Linked DNA regions of Drosophila melanogaster. The protein of the gene in region 1 interacts with the protein of each later gene in a pairwise test. Each region holds a gene or a part of one and is shown on either strand. Other genes may lie near its edges.

Region 1 (6,108 bases):
TTTATATTATGATTCAAGCATATGTGGCAAGACATTCGTTGGCCAAAGTAACAAACTTAAGCTTAAATTATGCAAAAGTCATTCCACATGCACTATTACCAGTCTGTCGCACCTTTTTCGTATGCTAAATAGGTTTGCTTACATATGTATGTATGCGAAATTCAATATTATAATAAACGATTGCTTGTTCATTATTATCCATAACAGGACATCTCCGGCCAGGTGGTGCTCATCACAGGAGGAGGCGGTGGTGTTGGACGTTTGATTGCCCTAAACTTTGCTCGCCTTCAGGCCCGCATTGTCATCTGGGATATAAATCAAGAAGGTAAAATCACACCTAGTTGCTAATGACGCCGTCACAGCTTCTGCCAGGCGGGTCAAAAAACCCGACGGCTAGTGAAAGCTGTTACATTTACAATTTGATTAGCTAAACAATATTTGATCATAATTTTCCGCACAGCCATAAAGACAACTGTGGATTTGTTGGCCAAACATGGTTATGACAACTGCAAGGGCTACGTTGTGGACATCTCAGATCGGGAGCAGATCTACCAGCGTGCCAGCCAGGTGACCGAGGAGGTTGGTCCCGTCGACATATTGATTAACAATGCCGGTATCGTGTGCTGCAAACCCTTCTGGGAGCTGCACGATCGGGTCATCCAGAACACGTACAACATTAACATCATATCGCACTACTGGACCGTGAAAGCGTTTCTGCCTCACATGATGCGCAATAATCGTGGTCATATCGTTACTGTGGGCTCGGTAACTGGAATGCTGGGCACCTACGGATGCAGTGACTACGCGGCCACCAAATACGCCTGCATCGGTTTCCACGAGAGTTTGCTCACCGATCTGAAGGCCCATGGCTATGATCAAATCCAAATGAGTTTGATCTGCCCGTACTACATCAACACGGGCATGTTTTCGGGTGTTCGGCCGCGGATGATGCCCATGCTGGAGCCGCAGTATGTGGCGGATCGCATCGAGAACGCCGTGCGCTGCAACGAGGTGTGGTGCGTGCTGCCCAACTCTATTCGCCTGCTCACTCCTCTCAAATGGTAAGTAGTCTATTTAACATAGTTATATACAATGTAATTAATGCTGGTTTTCTCAGTCTTTTGCCCGCCAAAATGTGCTGGGAGCTGATGTCGCGTGTCATCCGTGGACCCGAGTCTATGATGATGTTTCAGGGACGAGGGCGCGTCGCCGCTGGTTAAACACACAATAGGAATCATCATATGGAATCCATTACCTAAGCTTAAGTTCTTTTTCAAGAGGCGGCATCGTTTCACCTATAATTTTACAATAAACTTAGTTATTTGATTTAATGAACTATTTTAATAGACTTACACCTATCATTAAGGCTTTAGTTCCTGCTAATCCCGCACTGTGGTCTGTTGGTAATAATGCGGCGCCAGCTCCGTCAGCCACTCTCTCTTGATTACGGTCACGTAGTTCATGAACAATTTCGTCGTTTGGAGCAGTTCCCCATAGACCACGTACTGAGCTTGAGGAAGTGTGTAGAGAGTGGAGTTCGGATGAATGGCCAGTTCAGTGCCGCTGCTGATTTGTCTATAAACTCCAGAGTGATGCAGATAGGCCACCTGTGTGAAGAAGCCGGCGGTGATGCACTTGCACAACTTTTCCACATCGCCCTTGCACGAGAAGATTGGAATGCCGTACTTCTTTCTGGCCACTGTGATGAGTTGCTCCCTCAGCGAGTGGGCCCTCTTAAGATTCCTGTAGATGAGGAAGTATTGGCCACAGAACTCCTTGGTCATGCCCTCCTCCACGAAGCCAGTGTAAGCGTTCAACATCGTAATAAAGTCCCCTTCCGCAACTTCGAATTTTCGATGTGCAATGCGTCCACTTTGTTGGGCAACCGCTGAAGCTGGGCGCGAAAATATAGACTGCACCTGCAGCAACGCAATGATGGTTATGATCTCCTCGGAGCAGCCCATCTGACCGGAAACATAGAGCATTTTGGAGAGCATAGCGCTGAAGGGGAGTTCGGCCAACAGGTAACCCACGGGCTTCGTCAGATTGCCCTGCTCATCGATGGCGTCCAAGGCAAATAGACTCTCCAGTGCGGAAAGTAGATTCTGTGCCGGTGGTGGCGATGGGAAATCAAAGCGCAATATGTTCCCGATGCCCAGCGCCTTTAACTGCAAGATAGCGCCGCTCAATTCGCTGCGTCGCATTTCGGGTGGCTGCCGAGGAGCTAGTGCTTCATAGTCTGATTTAGTGTACAAACGATAGACCTTGCCGGGACGCATACGACCCGCTCGTCCTGCTCTCTGGATGGCCGACGCCTTGCTGACGGGCACTATAACCAAACTGTCACTGCAGGTTTTGGGATTGTACCATTTTACCTTGACGTAGCCGCAGTCTATCACATAAACAATGCCCGGAATGGTGATGGAGGTCTCTGCTATATTCGTGGCCAGCACCACTTTGCGGGTTCCTTTGGGCGGGGTAAAGAATACCGACAACTGATCAGTGCTCGACATACTACCATACATGGGCAGCACCTTGAGATTCTCCTGTTCCGAACTGGCGATGTATTCGCGCAGAAGATCCAGCGCCTCCAGGACTTCCTCCTGGCCAGTTAGGAAGGCCAAAATGTCGCCAGGCGGCTCCTTTTGATGCAGTTTCCAGACGGTCTCCACAGTTTCCTTCACATAATCGGCGCAGGGTTCGTTCAGATAGAAATTACTCACAGGATGCATGCGACCTTCAATGCTTAGCTTAACGCTCACTTCGCCCGATCCTGGCCAGCTGAAGAACTCGCTGAAGAAGCTTGCATCTATGGTGGCCGATGAAATGATGAGCTTGAGCGAGCTGCGTTTGCGAAGGATCTTCTTGAGCAGTCCCAAAATCATGTCGGTGAGCATATTCCGCTCGTGCGCCTCGTCCACGATGATAACACCATATTGGGTGAGCAGCGGATCGGCTAGGACTTCCCTCAGCAAGATGCCCTCGGTCATGAACTTGATTTTGGTACAGGAGCTCATGCTTTCCAGGAAGCGAACTACATAGCCCACCGTGTCACCTACCAGTTCGCCGCGTTCCTGTGCCACGCGATTAGCCAGCGTAACCTGGAAATGAAGTCTTTAGTTTTAGATTTTATAGTTGCTTTGCTTTAGGATTACTTACGGTGGAAACGCGTCGTGGTTCGGTGATGCCAATGAGTCCCTTGGTGTGCCAGCCCCATTCATACAAATACTGTGGCACCTGGGTGCTCTTGCCACTGGGAAATATGAAAAACCACAGAGTTAGAAGCATTACTTTGAAGCTCATGGAATTCCATACAAACCTGCCTGTTTCACCCACTAGTATGACCACTTGATGCTTTTCCAAGCAGTAAAGTATTTGATCCCGGTACTGACGAATGGGCAAACGTTCCCTCTGTAATAATTTAAGTTTAATTTGTTATTCTAGCAAATGTTTACGAAATATTTTGTAAGCCCACCTGCTCCATGAGTCCCATATTGTGATTGACATTGAATACAAAGGCGGAGGACTGCTGTTCACCACCGGCACTATCTGTGATTGCATCGTCCGTCTCGGGTTTTAGGAACTTTGGCTTAAAAGTGCTCATTTTCAATTATTTACTTCGTTATAGATTCAGTTTTGAAATTAAATAAACAGCTGATGGACTCAATGCATTGGTGCAAAATACCAAAGCGCGCAAAAGAATGTTAGGAATTTCGTTTAATATAAACTAATGGTCACACTTTTATTTGGCGGGAAATTGCATTGTATTGAAATTTCGATTAACGATAACCATCAACTATATAATAAGTTGAATTGCCCAAAAACCTAAGTATTTACTTAATCACTAAGTATACAGTCGCCTAGTTGAGGTCTATAAGAAAAGAGGATAATCAAATTTCACTATATTTTAGTTAAGATTTAAAAATGCAAAATATTAGTTTTTAGAAATTGTTTGGCTAGTACCTCAAGCTTATACCTTTGGTACCCACAAATTATAATATATTTGATTTAGTCGACCATTTCACGAGCCCCAATGGTGGCAAATGTCCATAACATTCACCTGTATTATTCATGCACATGTTTTTGTCCATTTTGCGGGCACGTTGCAGCACCGACATGTCCCCTATTGCTAGTGAAAATAACTCTAATTGCCAGTGGCAAGGCCACTTTGCTCCTCTGCATACCCAGCAAACTCATTATGTACTATAAGGTCGCCCTGGCCACGTGTGTGTGTCAAAAGTGTCCCCCGAGTTTTGTGCAGCTGTCGGCGACAGAAGCGCCCGGCCAATTGCTTTTGAATAAATATTGTATTGTATCTCTCGAGCAACAAAACACACACATTGTTTTGCCCGCTTGTATTTTTTTTTTTGTATATATTTTGATTTATGCACCGTCAGTGGGTATTATATGCATGCCGCCAATATTGGGACGAGTAAGATGGCCGTCGATTCCACACATGCAGGACCCCCGTATTCTGCATTGACCCTGACATTAAGAACGCTCGCTTTAACTTTAACCCCATCCGATGCGATCCGAACCCAACCACCAATTTCAAGCCAAAGCAAAACACGTGCCCGACATGCACGTTTGACCAACCACATCCGCATGCCAGTGCTGAAACAATGGAGCCCAGCTCCACTCCACTCCACTCGACCCGAGCCCAGCCCCCATGGCGTATGAGTAATCCGAGAAAAGCTAATTAAAGGCCAGCGGCGAACTTCATGCCAAGGACGAGGCGCCAAGTCGCCAAAGCCAAGCGAAAGCCAAAAACTCTGCGAGCAGTTTGTCAACACCGCCGTCCGCGGAAAGTGCTTCAACTAAAAGGCACTGAGAAAAAATGTTTTCACTTTCCACTCAAGCTGATATCAGCATCACAGGTAAAGAGGTATCTTCGCTACATGAGAAAGATTATAGTTTCGAAAAGTGTTAAGAACGATGCTTCAGTATTTAGTACTACATCTTAAATTGCAAATACTAAAATATAATAATTTCCGCTGTGCATATGGATTAGTCATTTCATTTGCCTTCTATCCCACTTAATAGTAGTTAAGTGAATATTTAGTTACATTGCGGGTTATGGGAGGCTGTCACATTTTCGCACAGTGTGTATCTTGTCCGTTTGGCGTCCAGTTCCAGTTTCGGTTGCATATAAATTTTAATAGATGCGCCCAAGGCCAGAGTTTTACTGTCAAACGGCTGTCGGCACTCCACTGCCGGTATCCAAATTCCGATTCCCCCGTCTTTGGGCACCTGACTAAATGCCACAAAACTTAAAGGGCGGCATGAATGCTAACTGTTATTCCGGCTTTTACGAGCAAAGTTTCCTTGGAAATGCCAGTGGAGGGTACGTTCCTTTTGTTCTATCTACGTATTATAACTATAGTTTCGCGTTGACGACCCTGATTACAAACGCCGGAGTTGTGCGTCCTCGACACCCAGCGAGTGGTGCGAAAAGGGGCTGGCGTCATTGTCTTTGCGTGCCGCGAATTTGCGTGATTCATGATGCATGTGGCAGGGCGGCAAAGTCGCAACTCAAATGCAGCACACACAAAGTGCACACGAAAAAAAATGGTGACGCTTAATTGGAAATTAATATGGAAAAGTAAGGTTATCTTCTGCTTACCTTTGCATCCCAATTTTTCATCGTAGTTAGGATATCCCATATCAGCTTTCAATTTCGCACAGTGCATTTTGGAGTCCTAGCACTCCGGGCGTTGTTTTTTGGCGCGTCTTCATCCGCTTTAATTACTGGAACTACTGAAACCGAAACTAGTCCCTGCACCACTTAATGTCAATAAAAATGTCAATTGCACACGCGACCTTGGGCCGCCCGTATGGCTTTCCGGTCAAGTTGGCCGGATTTCGGATGGCATATCACTCCAAACGGCGGCGATTAAAATGGATTTTTTCGGCAACAAGGATTTTGAGGTCCTCACAGCTGAGCGGCGTAAACAAAAACAACAGGCCGCCTGTGTCCTGAGAGCTGGAGGGAGAGAGACAGAGAGAGAGTGAAAGGTGGAAAGAGAGCGACCGGCTTTGGTGACACGTGCTCCAAAAACTGGCGGCGCTACGTGGCGTATACGTATTGCGCTGACGCCGTGGCCATTT
Region 2 (3,215 bases), on another chromosome or scaffold:
ATATCTATACAATTGCTAATTAATGTTAATGAATGCAGACGATCAGGTATTTGTATATTTCGTGTTAAAAGCAAATCTCAGCAAATGCGTAACAAATACGTCTCGCGAACAATAACAAGAACGGAAATGTTCTCGCCTATATAATGTAAATATATAGTTTTCGATGTATTTAACTCACCCTGAGCTTGAATGAGGGCTGCGAATCCCAGACACAAAAGAGCGCCAATAGCCAAAGTGCAGCACAATTTGTTGGCAGCCATTATAAGCAGTACTTGTGTCCGAAAAATATTTGTTTGCAAATGCAATTTGAAAAGTCACTGAACAGTATCACAACTATCTGTAAACAACCGACCTCTATCGAGCTGCCCGATCAACTGAGCTGAAAGTGCTACGAGCTTCGCTTTTTTGTTGACAAAAGCTCGCCGAAAGCTTCAAAACGGAAGACTTAAGCTGAGAACTTGAGAGAGCCAGCAAGCCAACTAAAGAGATTAGAGATTTTTACCGATTATAAAAGTATACTTTTTGGTGAAAATTACAAAATTTCAATCATTATTCCAATAAAACTGATGTGTTTTTACAATCTGAATTATGATTGGCTTATTGCAGCTTTCATGTGAAATATTTTATTTAAATATGAAGACAACTATATTTGCTTAGTTCGCTTTGCTCAAGTTTATTGTTAATATAAGAATCTCAGATGTTTAGATCTTGTTGAAGGCAGCAATGTCGACAGACTGAACAAAGTCCTCGAACTCCTCGATCTTCTCCTGCAGCAAATCGATGGACACCTTGTCGTCCTCGATGACGCACATGATCTGCAACTTGTTGATGCCATAGCCGACTGGGACCAGTTTGGAGGCGCCCCACAGCAGACCGTCCATTTCGATGGTGCGGACATTGTTCTCCATCTCCTTCATGTCGGTCTCGTCATCCCAGGGCTTGACATCGAGGAGCACCGACGACTTGGCAATGAGGGCGGGTTTCTTAGACTTCTTGGCGGCGTAAGCGGCAACTCGCTCCTGCTTGATGCGCTCGGCCTCCTCGTCCTCCTCGTCGTCGGATCCGAATAGATCCACATCGTCGTCATCGTCGGCGGCGGGCTTGGCAGCAGCAGCCACTGTGGGCTTTCCACCGGCCAACTGGGGCAGAGGAGTACCCGACCAAGCGGCACGCTCAGCGGCCTCAAAGGAGGCGATGTGGCGGTACCAGCGGGCCACGTTCACATTGTCGGCAGAGGGGGCCTTGCCCAGAGCATCGAACACGGACAGATCGGCCTTGCTGGGAGTATATCTAATGGGAGTATAGTAATGGGTAGAAAATTATTCGATCAATACATCTGCCGACGTGGTGAGGTCGTACATAACCTCACATTTAATGACGCGTGCTTACCCGCTGATGTAGCTGTTGTCGGCCAGGAAGGCGTTCAACTCCTTCAGTCCCTGCGGGGTGGTCACATCACCGAATGCCATTTTAAATGCGTTTTTGTGGGGTAAATTCGCGTTTAACAAATCTGGAGCCGTGCTCTGCGCAACGTTGCCGACGAAAGAAGAACAGAGTGACCTTCGCGGGAAACGGTCTTTAAACATATAATGAAAATACTGACTTTTTCCTAGTATTTCAAGTAGTTGCAACACAGGGTGACCCGGAGTTTGAGTAAATATCGTTCAAATATACCATACATTCAAATAGATTTTTAACGCTTACTTGTATTTTTTTTAATAAAACATAAGGATTATAATTAATACCTTATACTTAAGCTAGCTATTGGCTACGTAAATTTAAGGCCAAACAATTACATTTAATATTCTGAAAAGGAAAAAAATTGTATAGAAATTGTATGCTTCTACTTTGTAACTTGTGAAAACAATATGCATTTCCTTGGGCAAATTCACACAAATTGGGAGCTTGGGCTTAATAGAAATTAAGTTTAAGTAGATCCTTTACTTTCAAATAAATTCATATAAGTCATTGAATATTTAATTTAACACAAATATACCAAAAGCGCGGACTAAAACCGTGAATATCTTATGCGCAGTGTTACCGTTGCAGTGAAAATCATGAGGGTGAAAAAACGCCTCCAATCAAGCTATAATGCTACACAATTTTTTTGCAAACGCATAATTTTCACTGAAAAGCCGAAAGAAAAATTAAAAAAAAAAACGTAGAAGCGCATGAAAAAAACGGCTCAACAATAAGGCAGAGTAGACATTCGAAAGCCACTTAAACAAATGCCATAGGAAGCGTTTATAGTATTTCCTCAGCATTTGTGAAAAAATCGTCGCTTTCGGCTATTGAATTTTCAACGCGTGCGGTCAAACAGAACAAAAAAAAAACAAGTGGTAACCATAAAGAACCGAATTGAACCTATTATAAACCCAGAACTATGAGCGACTTCCAGCAACAAGGCATCAATCAATCGCAGGCACTCGCGCAGGCAATTCAGCGTGCCAAGCAGGTGAGTTCCCACCACTTGGAAGAGGAAGAAGCGGAAGTGGGCATTGATTCGGCTTCTTTTGCCCCAATCCCCAAACCAGATCGCAGCCAAGATCCAGCCCAGCCAGCAGGGCGGCGGCACAGCGGGTCCATCGCCACCGTCTTCGGGTGGAGGGCCTGGCTTTAAGCGTATCAACGACGACGGCGACAGCGGTCCGGAATCCAAACGCTCCTTGGGCAGTCCGGAGTACGCCAACAACAGCTCCAACATGAGCAGCGGTAGCGGGGGTGGTGGTGGCGGCGGCGGAGGTCCCGGCGGTGCCAGTATTACTCAGGCAATCGCCCAGGCTGCTGCGGTAGCCGCTCGTTTGGCCGCCTCGGCGGGAACAAGCTGTGAGGAGCAGATCCGTCTGCCCGAATCGGTAGCCGGCGCCTTTATGGGTCGCTCCAGTAACGACACCATCACCCACATCCAGGCCGAGTCCGGTGTAAAAGTGCAGGTCATGCAGGATCAAGATCGCGTTATCATGTTGCGTGGTCAAAGGGATACAGTCACTAAGGGGCGCGAAATGATTCAGAACATGGCCAATCGGGCTGGCGGGGGACAGGTGGAGGTGCTGTTGACGATCAATATGCCGCCACCGGGACCTAGCGGGTATCCACCTTACCAGGAGATCATGATTCCGGGCGCCAAGGTGGGCTTGGTCATTGGCAAGGGCGGCGATACCATTAAACAGCTGCAGGAGAAGACCGGAGCCAAAATGATCATCATCCAGGACGGA

What was found. Proteins that work in one complex are often made in the same cells at the same time.
Region 2: the proteins of CG3225 (region 1) and eEF1beta interact in a two-hybrid assay, tested with the Drosophila melanogaster proteins (one large-scale study listed by BioGRID).

The regions. Positions count from the first base shown.
Region 1 is NT_033779.5:4,814,563-4,820,670, forward strand, and holds CG3225 (uncharacterized protein), read right to left. Parts: upstream 3,684-6,108; 5' UTR 3,605-3,683; coding exon 3,476-3,604; intron 3,412-3,475; coding exon 3,320-3,411; exon of another isoform or gene 3,254-3,319; coding exon 3,160-3,253; intron 3,102-3,159; coding exon 1,380-3,101; 3' UTR 1,354-1,379; intron 1,330-1,353; exon of another isoform or gene 1,296-1,329; 3' UTR 1,221-1,295; coding exon of another isoform or gene 1,118-1,220; 3' UTR 1,062-1,117; downstream 1-1,061. Other genes in the region: CG15629 (uncharacterized protein), read left to right, coding at 208-325, 461-1,061, 1,118-1,220.
Region 2 is NT_033778.4:16,866,566-16,869,780, reverse strand, and holds eEF1beta (eukaryotic translation elongation factor 1 beta), read right to left. Parts: upstream 1,560-3,215; 5' UTR 1,470-1,559; coding exon 1,390-1,469; intron 1,291-1,389; coding exon 702-1,290; 3' UTR 501-701; downstream 1-500. Other genes in the region: CG6426 (uncharacterized protein), read right to left, coding at 179-260; Psi (P-element somatic inhibitor), read left to right, coding at 2,384-2,455, 2,535-3,215. UniProt on the Drosophila melanogaster protein: EF-1-beta and EF-1-delta stimulate the exchange of GDP bound to EF-1-alpha to GTP.